Pelodiscus sinensis: one gene and its partner. The protein of the gene in region 1 interacts with the protein of each later gene in a biochemical or structural test. Links are inferred from orthologs where the notes say so. Each region holds a gene or a part of one and is shown in the gene's direction. Other genes may lie near its edges.

Region 1 (7,659 bases):
ACAGAGAGATGTAGCGTCATGTGCCCCCAGCCTCCCCGGCCCCAGAGCACAGGGAGGGAGGAAGGGGTATGCCCCAGCTTCCCCACCCAGAGCATGGGGAGGGCAGTCCCGGGGGCAGCAACATTCCACCCCCTAGTAAGCGTTCTGGGGGTGGAGTATGGGCAGAGCTATGCCTGGCAGTTTGGGAATGCAATGCCTTCCCCCACCTATGATACCCACTGCCCCTGCCCTTGTTGTCAATGTTAATAGTATTGAGTGTCTGGTGACCATTAAACTTTTTAGTGAAGATTGAGCAAAATTCAACATCTCAGCTTTCTTGATGTCATCTCTTATTAGCTCTCCTTTCCTGCTAAGTAGAGAACACTTTCCGTTATCTTTTTCTTGTTCCTAACCTATTCAAAGAACCTATTCTTACAGGCTTTTATGTCCTTTGTTAGTTCCAACTCCTTCTGTGCCTGCAACTTTCTGATTCTGATCCTACATACTTGTGCTATTCTTTTGTTGTACTCCTTAGCAATATGTCCAGGTTTCTGCTTTTTGTAGCAGCCTGTCTCCACCTTGCAGAGAAGCCTATTCTCATTATCTGAAGGTTCTGCAGTCATTGATAGCTAGATAGCAACCTTCATCCCAGATGTGTCTATATGGATCCTGTTGATGTTGTGCTCCAAGAGACTATACAAATGAACCATTTCTTCTGAAGTTCTCTGACTTGCTTCCTGACTGACTACACCAACAGACCTTGGTGGGGGAAATGGAGCCTGTATTCCCAGCAAGTCCAGACCAAGCCTGGGCAAAAGCCTCCAGGGTTAGGATGCCTATATGGCAGAAGACTCTATAGGTACAGGCAGAGGAAGAATTAGCATACCAGGTTCTCCCTTGTAGACTGAAAAAAAACAAAACAACCCCACACACTCAACCCTATTCTCCTCAGCTGGTAAACTCAGTGGATAACTTCCTTTGTTTTACCAGCCACTGGAAGCATGCAGCTGAGGCCAATAATTGTGTACCTATCCTGGGTTTTGCAGTAAATATTCCTCTCCCTTGATTTTAGTTCCTAGAGCACGATGTATAATCCTTCCCTATCAAGCTACAACACAGTGCCTATCTCACAAATATACTATTTATAGATACAGAAGTTTATTAGTATTCCTGGAGCCTGCAAGTTTCTGGCACATTTCAACAAAATATTTTGACGTTTCTGTGCTTCCAAAGAATGCCATCTGTCACACGAGCATCTATAAAAACATTCATTTTTTTTGAAGTTGCTAACCTTTTTACAATTAAAGGTGAGGCTAATCACATGCTCAAAAGTAAGCACATACATAACTCTTTAGAAAATTGTAGTTAAACTTTCCTCATTAATATGCTCCTAATAATTACAAGATTCAAATGGGGAGAGGAATCATTTTTGAGATATTATATAAAGTATTTTAAGTCAAAGTTGTATTCAGTATTCCCCGAATATAAAATGACCAGAACTTTGTACAGCTGATGTGTAAGACACCTCTACTTCTTCTTCTTCTTCTTCCTTCCCTAGTTCTGTGATCTTGGACTTTTTTAGTTTTTTTTTTTTCATTGTGGTACAGTAGTATTTTGTTTCACTGTCTTAATTTTTAGCATGCTATCACTTTGAAATTTTGATATTAAAGGGCTGCATTGCGAATCCTTAATCCTAATGGAAAAAGAAAAATTATCACAGGTGCTTCAGTGAGACTAATTGTGCCAATAATTGCTTATCAATGAGAATGACTTCACAAACTGATCCCAAATTTCCAAAGGTTTTCTTACTTCTTACCTTAACTGCTTCTGCTTATTTTTTTAAATCAAAGATGTTACAAATATTTAGGTATTTGCTGCTATAAATAAAATGGTTAATAGTGACACTAAAAATATGGAATAATTAGGAGGGCTGCAGCTCCTAACTCTCCAAGTGTTAAGGCAATGAGGGGCAATCTGGCTACATGAGTGGCCCTCCTCCTCTCAGTGGGCTGCACCATTGTCATAGCCATGACAGTCTCCTGGGATAGAGTAGTTTTGCTAACTGTGCTTGTGTACCATGAGGTGTGCTGTAGCAGCACTTTGATTTGATGCAGAGGGAGTGCATGGCTCTCACAGTCACTGTTGTGTGCAATCAACATGTACCTCACTTTACATGCCCTCGCTTTAATATCAGTAGGAAAAAAACGTGCACGGATGAAAACCAGCAGCCTGGTTAGTGGCAACCCTACATGTGGGCAATAGTAACAAAGTGTCTGGTGGGCCACTCATAGAACCCCAATGGGCCATCGAATTGCAGGTTGCCCACTAATGTGTTAAGGCCTAAATGCGGGACATAAAGTAGAATGAAAGCCCAAAAGAAGGACAACAGAAAAACAATAGCTCAAAGGAGTTTAGGAATGAGACGAGGCAGCTGTTTTGTAACCAAAGTGTGTGACCTTGATTTTCCACTTCTGCAATTCTGAGGAGACAATTTGCAAAAATATTTCTTGACCACATATTCTTTGTTGTGAAATATACTCAAGAGACCAAGTAACCAATGTCAGTCATATTTATTAATATGGTACTGGAAAAAGGTTCAATATAAAATTCCAGTCTCCAAAGAGCAGTCCCATGCAATATTCACTTTCTGCAGAAGGTATGCTGCTACAGTTACGTATTTCACCTGGTATTAACAAAATCCTATAAATTACATATTTCTTTACATGCCACTAAAATTTAAGCCCACAAGTTTGTTTCAGTTTCCTAACTTGTTCTGTTCTTCCTTATCTTTGTTTTGGATACTAACATTCCAGGGACTGATATGAAAAGTTATTTCCCAGCTTGAATCAAGAAACAGATTCCTTCTATCTTGATTTTTGACAAGTTTCCTATACAGTTGTGCCAAATGCTTACTTCTGCGAATGCAAGGCAGTGTGGGATACACTGCATAAATTAACAGGTGTATGGTAAAGAACAGTATAGGCTACATCACTGTTATATATAAATGCACAGAACATGCATTAAGCACCAATAATATTAAGCATGAATATTGTATTGTGCAGATAATGCATATTAATGGCATTTATATGCCAGCAGCATATTAATTCACAGGACCCCCCCCCCCACTAAGGATTGGCTTAAATATATTTTTGTTTTTAAATAATACCTTTTGTGGGAAGGAATGTTGTCATGGCTCCTTCCCCACTCTGGCATGATAAATGCAGAAGTGGGGGCCAGCAAGTGTACCCCAAAGCCTTATCTACCAGGCTTTGATATAAAACTTCCCCCAAAATCTTAAAAACCTAGATTTTGGGAAGAAAACTTCCGCTGCCACCACCCAAATATTAATAACGAGATTAGGGAAAAGATCATTTGGGAAATCTCACGCCTATTATAAAAATCAGGACACACAAGTAACCAAAGCCAGGTTAATAAAAAGAAAAGAGAAAACTTTTATTATTACAACAATATTCCTGTTGCAAGCATAAGGATCAGATGGAAAGGTAACCAAATATACTCATGGAGGAGTTACACCATGGGCTAGAATTTAGTTAAAAAGAAAAGCCAAACATCTCTTAAGCAGTGCCAGATATCAGATCCCATACCCAACCCTTAAAACAATAAAGCCTAATGAAGCTACCTAAACTTTACCCTACTTACAGAAAATGAAGAGAGAGACATGCTTGTCCCTCTCTGTAGCTGCAGAGAACTCACCCAGAGAGAAAAGGGAGAAAGGAAAAAACCCAAATTCCTTTGTCCCAGTTTGAAAGTCCCACCTACATTCCTACTGGTCACTCCACCTGGCTAGGTGTAGTTAACCCCTTAATCCCAGGCTGCTGGCTAACCCTCATAATCATGACAAATGTACAAACTCTAAGCCTATCATATAATGACTCTTCGGATATGTCTACACTACAGAGCAATTTTGGGATACTTCTGGTATCCCAAAATAGTTATTCTGCAACTTAAGAGCAAGCCCATTATATCAAAATATAATGGGTTTGCTCTTCCAACATCCCTGGAAACCTCATTGTACAAGGGATAAGAGAAATAACATGGAAATGTCTGCACAATTTGTGCAGTGCAAATCGAGTAGCTTATTTTGAGGGAAGGGTGCTGGGTATACGCACCCTTAGATTTTTAGTTTTAGAAACACATTAGGTAGCAGGTCTTGCAATAGAACCATGTCCATTACCAACACTGCATCCTGCAAACAAACTAGTCCCATAACACTCTCTGGCTACACCTGTGCAGTTAGTGGGCTATATGCCTGGAGTTGGTGCAGAGCCTTAACCCTAACATAAAGGCTGCCCTCTATCAGGACACTAAATACGTTCACTGCACCAGATTTGCACAGAGCACTGTTCATGCGTTTAGGGACGACAGTGTTGAGACTTCTGCTGCAATCCTGGACTCGGGGCCAACCTCTGGGTAAGTTTCCTTTCAATGCGAAGTCTCTCATGTTACCCACCCCCGCTTCTTTCCACGCCCGGCACCGCTACCTGCGCCAGGCAGCAAGTTCTTCCGCCTCTGCCCCGTGGCAGCAGGTCTTGCCCGACTGAACCGCTCTCCTTTTCCCAGAATGCTCCTTGACGCTCCTCTCTACCCCGAGCCGGGCGCTTCATCTTGTCTGTGTCTTTCTAGCTCTTCCTGGTTTGCAGCAGCCCCGCCCGCCCGAGCCCTGCAGTGACACCGGCGCTGCCCGCCTGAGCCCAGGTGCTGCATGACCCGGCGCTCTGGCTGGAACGGAAAGGCGCCAGGCGGCGGCAGCAGCGGGTGATTTTCACCTTGCAGCAGGGAGCGCTGGGGCGGCGGCGGCGGCTCGCTACCACCTGGGGGGCGCAACCTAGGCGGCGGCGGCAGCAGCAATTGTATTTCAACCCCCCCCCCCCCCCACAGCTGCAGCGCTCGGTGGGGAGAGAGGCGCGCAGTTCCGCGTTGGCTCGGCGCTTTCTCTTCTCTTCTCCCCTCCCCTCTGGGGCAGCTCGCCGCTAGCGCCCCCGCTAGGTGGGTTGGTTTCAGGAAAGGGGGGGGGGGGTCCTCCCCCCTCGTGCCGCTCTCCCCGCCGGTGGATGCCGCAGACCCCGGAGCCCGAGACGACGCGCTGGGTGCGTTATGGTTTGTTTGGGGTTTTTTTTGCAATGGCTGTGTCTCTTCCTGGGGGTGGCGAGGTGGGGCCGGGGCCAATAATGTCCGGGCCTGGCAGCGCACGTGCCTCCTGTTCACCGCAGTGGGCTCTGCCTTCGTGTGGGGCTGTGAGGGCAGGAAGACTCGGTGGCTTGCTCAGTGTGTGTAGGGTGGGGGTGGCATTTGCCTCGCTGCCCTCCCCTTCGTGAGGTGTCCCGCCCCCCCCCGTGCAGGGCCAGCCGCAGGGGGAGGGGAGAGGGGCCGGGGAAGCGACCTGCTGCGAGGGGGCTAGTGCAGATGGCGGTGCCCCCCGCCCAGGGCTAGGCAGGTGCAGGGCTCCCGGCCTCTCGCTGCGCGGCCGCAGGAGGGCTCGGCCCGGAGGAGAGGCCGGGCTGTGACCTGCTGCCCCGCCCGGGCTTACGCGGGGTGTCAGCAGCGCGGAGCGCGCCCCAGGCGTGGAGGCAGCGCGCTCAAGTCCCCGGGCTCGGCTGGAGACAGGGAGGGGGGCAGCGAGACCAGCCCCCCGGCCCAGGCTGAGGGACCCCGCCCGGGGGCTTCCGGGTTCAGCTCCAGGCTTGTGTCCGGACGGAATTGAAAAAGCGAAACAAACCAAACTCCTCGCCTGGCTGCAGCCCAGCCGCGAGTGCGCGCCGAGCAGGGGGCGGGCTGGTCCCGGCTGTCCAGCTCACCTGGCCGCCCAGCGGCTCGCCGGGTGCGTGAACTTTCCTTGCTACTTTCTTTGCAATGCTCGGCTGAGTCGCTGGAAGGTGCGTGTCCCGCCCTCGCTGCGGTAGGGAGCTGGGCCGCCCAATGTCAGTGCGTTAGTGTGGCTGCTTCTGCCAAGCAGGTTCAACCCCTCTGCCTTGGGGGAGGGGGATGCCGGGTCTTTGAGTGCCTCATGGTTAACTCTGCTCTCACTCGCACCCGTGTTTTCTGTGTTGCGCTGGGATCTCTGGTAGGTGAGCTTCTGTAGTTTTTGTATTGCTGTCAAGACTCTCCTTCGTGGATGTATTTGATTCTTTTTCTAAATGGCCTATGCATACTTAGCAAACTGTAGGTATTTTTGTGTGCACCTGGTGGCTCGGTAGCAAGGGCAGATATGTTGATCTTACAGTGCCTGGATATATATATGCCAGGAGTATATATTTTTCATCTATATAGACTGTTTTGTTTTTTTTAATACCAATGAGCATTGAAAAGGTAGATGAGTAAGTGAGTAGGTGAATGGATGGATTGGTAGAGTGAAGAGACTGTCATAAAGGTTGAATCTCTCTGGTCCAGCAGCATCCATGGTCCAGCATGATTTTAGTTAGATGGATGTCCACTTATCATGGATGTGACCAATCTTCTTGAGGTCCCATTAAGTTTGTTTTCAGCCACCAGTCCTCGCTCCCAGTGTTCTGTGCTGTTATATATCTCCATTTTACCCCTAAATGTCTTCTAAGAACCCAGTAAGCAATGGCAGTGTTGGTAATGCTGGTAGACAATATTGACCCCCTCCCCCGCTATGGTTTGGCACATTCTCTGGTTTGGTACCAGTCAGGGTTCAAGGATGCCAGACTAGAGAGGTTGAATACTGTTCACATGGCAATTAGAGGATCACAAATGTATAAAGAACCTTTTAATTTAGTGCCGTAAGTGGACTTATGTCGAGCTTTGATTGTATTAGACCATGAGGTCAACCTGTTAAAGGAAATTAGTATATCCTGAGAAAAAGACAAAGAATAGGTCAGTCTTATTGTTTTGTCATGACAAAAGTCTCTCTGCAAAGCGGGAGAAATTTCATAAATAAAATGTAATATTATATTATTAGCCCCTCTCAGCATATAACGAGTACAATGTAAAGGACAAAAGGGGAAATACTTATGTTCATAGTTGCCCTGAAAACCAAAAATATGAGGCCTAGTTCTGCAAAAATAGTTGAATTGCTACAGAATATAACAGTAACTAGTCATAATTTGAGTTGGCATTATTGCCATGGCAGTTTTCCAAAATGTACTATGTCATACTGTCAGCCTAATGATGAGATATTAAAATTGTTTAAATCATTAATATGCAAACTGAGCTGTGAGAATTCTCAGAACAAACTTGTCCTCTCTTTAGACTTTGATTCCTAAATGGTGACTCCTAAAGCTAGCACTATGTTGCTATTGAGTGAGATGCAATGCTTTGGTTCACAGTCACCTAATCTCTTGTATCCTCTTCCAAAAACACAGGTACTATAATTACAAAAAGTACCTGTCGCCATTCCCACCATACATACTTTTTTCACTGATAGATTTCAAAGTTCTTTCAACAGGTGCTTTATACCTGGATTTGATTTAAATAAAATTGATTTGTATCACTAGTTAGGAGGGCTTAATTTAATCATGGCTTTCTATGTCAAAGTGCATTCTTGTTGGTTGTCATAACCTTAATGCAAATTCTTCACAACTCAGAGAGATATGTGAGTATCATTTTTAAAAGGGACACACTATACATTTTTGAAAAATTTTCTGAATAGTTTTAAAGCTATATCAGAAAATGAATGATTGTTTAGCTATTTCATTTACC
Region 2 (7,792 bases), on another chromosome or scaffold:
TGCCGTATGGTTCTTTTGTGCCAGGTGATGTGGGAGTTCCCCATTGCATGAGGGGCTCTGCTTGTGCCTGGGCTGGATCTGCTGTCTGGATACACATACATCATCAGAACCCAGGCCCAGCGACCTGGCATTTCTCCCCAGCACTACATTAACGCCAGGTTGTTGCATTTTCCTCTTGCTGTTTCTGGACGTGCATCTAAGGAATCACCTCCCCCACAAGATGAGCTCACTCTGCTCTTGTTTGTTGTGGCTCTTCCTGCCAAAGGCCCCAGAGGCAACGGAAGAAATCTACTCACCGGCCCCTGACGTAGGGAAATGATAGAACAGGATGGAGAGCGGCAGCCCGGGCCCCGACGGCTCACTCCTGCGTCTCAATTAAATGCCCGAGCCAGGAGAGGTGATGAGTCATGGGCAGTGGCTCCCGTGCATGTGCCGGGGAGCTGGCACACAGTGTTCCCAACGTGAGTGCTCTCCCCACGGACTATTCTTCAGAAACAAATGGCCTGATCAGCCTGCCAGGCTCAGGAGAGCTGCTTGTTGCTCTGTGTCCACAAAGAGATGGGACAGTTCTGGGTAGTGAATGCCAAGCCAAACCACAAACCACAGGGTCACAGTGGGATGCCAGTCACTGGTGTCCTTCGTAGGGCTCTCTCTGATGCATCCGCACACTGTCCTGTGCACACCCTCTCCTGCCTCTGGTTCACGCATAGATCTCGAAGAACCCTCAAAGGCAGGACCTGCGTTTGCAAGAGTGGCTGCTAGTTTGGGATGGGGAAGGTAAGTTAGGGTTGATTTTAAGAGGCGCCAAGAACTAAGAGCTCCCAGTGGCACCTCCAAAAAGCAGGTACAAGTCTCTCCGGCCAGGCACACAAAGCCAGAGGCCACTTTTGAAAATTTCCCCCCAAGTTACATTGTGGCTTAGTGGCCAAGCCACTATAAAACAGGAATACCCGCTCTTCCCACTAGGCAAAACTTTTTAACAAACAGGTTTCAGAGGTAGCCATGTTAGTCTGTTTCAGCAAAAACAAGGAGTCCCGTGGCACCATAAAGACTAAACATTTGATTATAGCATAAGCTTACCTGAGCTGCAATTCACCTTATCAGATGCATGAAGTGAAACTCAAAGGAAACAAATAGGGGCATAGAGATGGGAGTGTTACATCATGGCTAATCAGGATGGATGTGGATAAGAAGGTGAGAATACTTAAAATGGAAATTTCCTACTATCTGATTCCTTTGCCTTTCACTTCATGCATCTGATAAGGTGAATTGCAGCTCATGGAAAGCTTGTAGTGGGTTTTACCCAGGAAAGTTCATGACCCCATATATTTTTGTTAGTCTCTAAGGTGCCACAGAATTACTTATTGGTTCATAATACAATTGTTAGCCCTTAAGGACCCCTTATTGTTTTTCCTAAATAACATTAATGGTTTCACCTTGGAGATGAGACTGGATATCGCACCATTGTGAAATCTGAAAATCCTCCCATAAGGAGGAGCCAGCCCAGAGAACAGAGGCACGGGAGGGCTTTTGCGCATGCAAAGAATATTTCTGCTCGGTATAGCAATGTGAATTTTTTGTTTATTGCAGGAAAGCTTTTTCTCAGTAGGGTGAACAAGGATCACAGAGTCATCAGAACCAGGTAAGAGCTTGTCCATTCCTCTGGGCTAGCGCAGTGCTGTTCCCTACAATGTGTACTGCAGGAAGAGAAGACTGCAGGGCATCTGAGCTGACCTGGGTGGGAGTTTCCTTAAGGAAAGTGGAAAGTTATTTTATTCCTTAGCGCACTCAAGAGGGTTGGCAGGCCTGCTGCTGATTACAAGTTCCTCCCCTTTCCTAATGTCTGGGTCACTTGGGAGGGTGGATAAATCTGTACAAACCCTGTGTACTGCCTGCTCTGCTATTGGGCCAGTGGCCATGGGTAAAGCTGATGCAAAACCATGCTGCCTTGCTAGCCCTCAGAGGGAAATGCACACTTTCCTCCATCCCCAACTCCAATGACACCACTGTTATGCAGCTCACCAGGTGAAAGATGAGTGGCATCTGGTTTGGAAACTAGTAAATAGCAACAGATGGAGTCCAGAATGAAAAGGAACCACTCAAGCAGGCAAATAGCCTGCTCGAGGGTCAGGCAAACACAGAGCTGGCATCCCTGAGAAAAGGCCTGTGATGGAGGGGTGGGGTAGGGCCACAGACTTTGGGAAGAGGCAATGGAATATACATGGAACTCACTCAGATTTCTCCTTGGAATTATTTATTCAGGGACTTCCTCTTGGAATGGGGTAGAGAGAGGAACAGTCACCTTCATTTCTGGGCTTGGGAAAAATAATCCCCTGGCTCCCAGAAGCACTGAACCAGCAAGCTGACAAAACTTTAGGGAACAGATCTACAGATGGTGTAACTGACACAGGACCATGAAGTCAATAGAGCAATGCCATTTCACACCCACTGAGGATCTGCCCTAGATGTATGCAGGAATGTATTTGACACAGTCTCCAATGGATCAGAGAATACATGTGGTGCTAGCGTCTAAGCAAGGGATCAGACAGCAGGGGATGTGCTTAATGCAGTATACAAGGGCTCAAAGAGTAGCCAGGACACTACAGAATGGAAGCTGATCAGTGTGGTTTGCTCAGGAGCCATGCAAATTGCCCCTTTTTTGCTGGTTCTCTTGCACCCCAGTCTATAAGTGAATTATTGGTATCACTACCAGTGGAATAGGTTTTTGACATGGCTCCTCTAGGTTTCTCTTTTTACCTTAAGGAAAGAACTGAGGCTCAGAGAGGATAATGACTTACCTAAGGCCACACCAGCAGTCAGTGGCAAAGTCAGGCCTGACTCACAATTGCTTGTCCTAACCACTCCAGTCCCTCTAGTCTTTCTCCTTTCCTGGCAGTAAGATTATTAGTGGCACCCTACTGTACTGACTAGACTAGTTTCTGCTCTCTCAGCAGGCCCATTTCTGTTGCCTGAAATCTTGGCTTGACTTGACTTAGTCTCATGTATGTGAGAGCTAAATCTCTCACTGCTTGCCTTATTGCTAATACTGTTGGCTTGTTTCAAAGCCCCCCCTGCTGGCGTTCTGCTCATATCCATCAATGCCATGGATACTGGCATTGAGATACTGCTAGCAGCTGCATCTCCTGCTGATTGTGAGTAATGGCAGGAAGTGTGGGTTGGGTGTATGTGTGTGTGAATGTCAGGGATGGGAAATGCACTGAGAAGATAATGTGCAGAAATTGTGGGGCATTGCCTCCTAAATGGTCTTTGGTCTGTGGTGGAACATACAAGGGGCACAGTGGGGCCCAGGCCAGCCCCCAGAGGCAAGGACAGACCATTGCCATACCCAGCTCTGCTCCAGCTTCCTCCCCAGCCACGACCTCTGACTGACCATGCACCCATCCCCATCTCCCACTCTGCACCCAGCTCTGGTGTCAGTCTCAGCCTTAGCCTCTGGCTGTGGCGCTGATCCTGGCCCCAGACCCACCCCCACCCCCAGTTGTAATCCTGTTACCCTCGTCCCTTTTCGCCCTCCCTCTGGAGAGCTGTGGCTCTGCAGGATGGTTTGAGGGTGTATTGACAGGTGTAAGGGAGGGTGTAACCCTGAACAGTTTGGGACCAGTGCTCTCCATCAGGGAATATTTCCTATGTGTCAGGGCCACTGGCGATACACACGAGAGAGACAGGATTTCAATGTTTCTTAATGTAAAAATGCTTCTATGCAGGAAAAGCTGAGCGTGGGTCACATTTTGGGCCCAACAGGGGTGCCCGTGACACAAGATACCAGACTTATCAAGTGCCAAGACACTGTGGCTGTGTCTACACTGCACACCTTTTCCGGAAAAGGGATGCAGATGAGACAAGTCGGAATTGCAAATGCAGCGGGGATTTAAATTTTCCCCGCTGCATTTGCATGAACATGGCTGCCGCTTTTTTTCGGCTCAGGGCTTTGCCGGAAAAAAGCGCCAGTCTATACGGGGATCTTTCGGAAAATAAAGCCTTTTCTGAAAGGTCCCTTATTCCTGATTTTAAGAGGAATAAGGGACCTTTTGGAAAAGGCTTTATTTTCCAAAAGATCCCGTCTAGACTGGCGCGTTGTGCCGGCAAAGCCCCGAGCCGGAAAAAACGGCAGCCATGTTCATGCAAATGCAGCGGGGAAAATTTAAATCCCCGCTGCATTTGCAATTCCGACTTGTCTCATCTGCATCCCTTTTCCGGAACAGGGGTGCAGTGTAGACACAGCCACATGTCTGAACGTGAGGCTCCCTTTGAGCCTGAGGCCCAGGCCAATGGCTTTGACTGGCCCTGCCCCGGCTCAACGTAGTTTCTCTTATAGGCTGGAGTTGCAGTTTCCGGCCGGGGAGCATTGGGAGCGCAGGGCGGAGCTGGGCCGATGCCCCGAGGTCCCTGCCTGGGACTCCTGGGGGCGGGCCCTTGGCGCTGCGGACCGCTAACCAAGTGCCAGGTCTACGAGAACTACAACTCCCAGGCGGCGGCGCGGCGGAAGAAGGGGCGGGGCAAGGCTCACGGGGGCGGACGTGCCCGGCGTATGACGTGAGCAAACGCGCCGCAGTCGCGGGGGCGACAGGGGCCTAGTAGCGGGAGCCGGGCCTGCGGGCCGACATGGCCAAGCAGTACGACACGGTGGAGTGCCCCTTCTGCGACGAGGTGTCCAAGTACGAGAAGCTGGCGAAGATCGGGCAGGGCACGTTCGGGTGAGAGCCCCCCCCCCCCCAGCGCTCGGGTCTGGGCCGCCCCCTGCCCTGCGGCCCCCAGCGCCCCCAACCCGGCTTCCTGCCAGCCCGGCCTTCTGGGAGCGACCCCCCCCCGCCGGGGGCGCTGAGGGATCGACTCGCCCTCGCCCTCCAAAATGCCTTGGTGTCTTAGGAGATGCCCAGGGTCTGAGATCCCCCCCCCCCCCCCCGCCTGGAGATCGGTGAGAGGCTGGTCCATTGCCGGTCTCACCTGCCTTGGAATCTGCGAGCCGGCTCTCTCGGGGTACGTCTGCACCGCACCTGTATTTCAGAATGAGCGATTCCAGGAGAAATACTCAGAAATAGCTTGTTTTGAAATAGCACGTCTACACTGCAGGGGAGCCTCAAAGTTAGTCCCAGTCAGGTTCCCCTAATGTGGATGCGCTGCCTTGATTTAGAGCCCCAGGAGGCCCTAGAGCAGTGTTTCTTAAACTTTCTAAGACTGAGGAACACCCAAGGATTTTATTTTATTTTATTTTTATTTTTTTGCTCAACAAAAAAAAAAGGGGGGGAGTTATTGAGGGGGGGAAAAAAAGTTTCCTGCCCCTCTAAGTTTGGCCATTTTGCACTCTGTTGTTCTCCAAGGCACACCTCCAACTGCCTCGGCGCACACCGGTGTACCGTGGAACACAGTTTAAGAAATGCTGCACTAGAGAGTAATTACTTTGAGTGGCCCTGGGGAGGCGCTATTTCAGAATAGCAGCAGGGGCGTGTCCACAGTACATTGCTTGTGAAATGAGGTTTAAAGATGTTGGAATAAGCCATCCATTATTTTGAAATAAAATTACTGTGTAGATACTCGCATTATTTCAAGATAACATCAGTTATTTTGAAATAACTGTGCTGTGTAGATGCACCCTAGGAGATTGTGGTGCTTCTTGGCACGAAGTGGGAAGACCTGGGCTAGGCAGAGGGTCAGCACTGAGTTGCCTGTAAGCAAGCATAGAAATGTCTTGTTTGGTCTTGGCTGGGGATGTAAAGAATTAGTTGCTGCTCCCCCCCCTCCCCTCCTTATCAGATAGAGGCAGCGAGGGGGAGAGAAAAGAGGAGGGGTACTTAAAAGCAGCAGTGCCACATGGAGCCTGGGGTCAGCTGGGGACTCCAGGCTCCATGTGGTGCTGCCCTTTCAAAATGCCTCCCCAGGCTCCACATGGCATTTCAAAGTGGCTTGGAGCCCAGGATCAGTTGGGGACTCCCCAGCTGACCCTGAGCCCAGTGGGGTGCTGCTGCTTTGAAATGCTGTGCAGAACCCTGGATTAGCTGGGGACTACCCCGGGTTCTGCATGGCATTTTGAAGCAGCAGCACCTCTTGGAGCCCAGGATCAGCTGGGAACTCCCCAACTGACCCCAGGCTCCGTCCAGTATGCCATCCTTGAATTGTGCAAGAGTTGCCAGCGGCATGGAGGAAGCACAGCATGGAGCATGAGTCCCCTGTTAACCCCAGGCTCCATGCGGATGCTTCCTCTTTGAAATGTGCAAGAGCCCCCACTGGTGACTTTGTTCATTTCAAAGCAGAAGTGCCCCTATGGAGTCAGTGGGACTTCCTGCTGGGCTGTGTGTGTCATACCAACTTTGAAATGCCCAGGGCCCTGGGGGCTCTTGTATATTTCAAAGGTGGAACGTGGAAGTGCTTATCAACTAGTAATCAACTCAGCTAATAAATTAATCACTAGTTAACATCCTAAGTCTTGGCTGGCTGTGCCTGCTCCACTTGGCTACTTCAACTCCTCCAGGAATGCCCATGTGTTTCTATCCTCTCTGCAGGGAAGTGTTCAAAGCAAAACATCGGCAGACAGGCAAGAAAGTGGCTCTGAAGAAAGTGCTGATGGAAAATGAGAAGGAGGGGGTAAGATGGCTGGGCATGTGCCTCTACTGTGTCTGGGTTAGAAGGGTGGGAGTTTGCGAGCTGGGCATATGTCTTTAGTAGACAATGTCTCAATCTTTGTGGGATATGGAAATTCATTGTGTGTGTAACTTTGCAGGATCTACAGCAGTAAAAACCAATATAGAAATAATTTCAATTTAGAAAGTGTTGTGCTGCTCTGTGTATTAGGGATGTAAAAGGTTAACTGGATAAACAGTTAAACTGTGGGGGCCGGAGTAGCTCCTGAGTGTCCGGAGTAGCTCCTGAGTGTCCGGAGCAGTCCCTGTTGGCAGTGGGCCTGGGTGCACTGCAGGCAGAGGCTGCTCCAGCCCATCTGGACTGCACCTCCCCTTAATTGGTTAACCAGTTAAACCCCTACCTATGTATCAGGAAGTAACTTGGTTTAAAACAAAAGTCTTTCCATGTTACATGGGTGTCTGAATCGCATCTCTGTTGAGCCCAATAAGATTTCACTTCTGCTCACATGGTAAAGTTCATACATTGAGGAGATGGGGAGCTGCATTCTAATTGGGATCACACATTAACAAGTGTCTCCATGTTTTAATGGCAAACATCAGTATTGCTTTTGCTGGTCATCTCAAGAAGCAACAACACACTGGATTCTCTTCCACATCTCAGGGTTTTTTTTAAGTAGTTGATCCAGTCTGGTGTTCCGGACAGTCAACACAAGCTATTTTAGTTACTAGGTGCTAAGAGTTATAAACTGGAAGTCACTGTGAATAAATCTGGAACTGCACAATGTTGGTGTTAGGCTCTGTTCTGACCCTAGCTGTGGTTTGAGCAGCAGCACTTTGTCTGCTTGAATACATCTCTTTGAGATTTCTGCCATAATTATCTCCTCTCCCCTTTCCTCCCCTCCCCTGATCTAGATTAGACTGGGATCTTCTCTTGCAATTCTAACTTGTGGCTCTTTGTTAGTTCCCCATCACAGCCCTGCGTGAGATCAAAATCCTTCAGCTGCTCAAGCATGAGAATGTAGTGAACCTCATAGAAATCTGCAGGACCAAAGGTAGCACATTTTAGTTCCTCCTTTTTATTTTTTTAACTTACATCAGTTGATCTCTAGTGTACCCTTTATTTTTTTCTCAGTGAAATGCACTAGCCCAATACAAAATAGCATGGTTTGTCCATAGGTTTTGGTGCATATCTGCCT

The links.
Region 2: of the proteins of MBP (region 1) and CDK9, one has a biochemical effect on the other in vitro, tested with the Homo sapiens proteins (2 studies listed by BioGRID). The link is inferred for Pelodiscus sinensis from reciprocal best matches to the Homo sapiens genes MBP and CDK9.

Annotation. Positions count from the first base shown.
Region 1 is NC_134712.1:98,087,519-98,095,177, reverse strand, and holds the start of MBP (myelin basic protein), read left to right. Parts: upstream 1-4,636; 5' UTR 4,637-5,087; intron 5,088-5,256; exon of another isoform or gene 5,257-5,873; intron 5,874-5,991; exon of another isoform or gene 5,992-6,061; intron 6,062-7,659. UniProt on the Homo sapiens protein: The classic group of MBP isoforms (isoform 4-isoform 14) are with PLP the most abundant protein components of the myelin membrane in the CNS. They have a role in both its formation and stabilization.
Region 2 is NC_134732.1:10,828,163-10,835,954, reverse strand, and holds the start of CDK9 (cyclin-dependent kinase 9), read left to right. Parts: upstream 1-4,752; 5' UTR 4,753-4,870; coding exon 4,871-4,998; intron 4,999-6,518; coding exon 6,519-6,600; intron 6,601-7,557; coding exon 7,558-7,648; intron 7,649-7,792. UniProt on the Homo sapiens protein: Protein kinase involved in the regulation of transcription.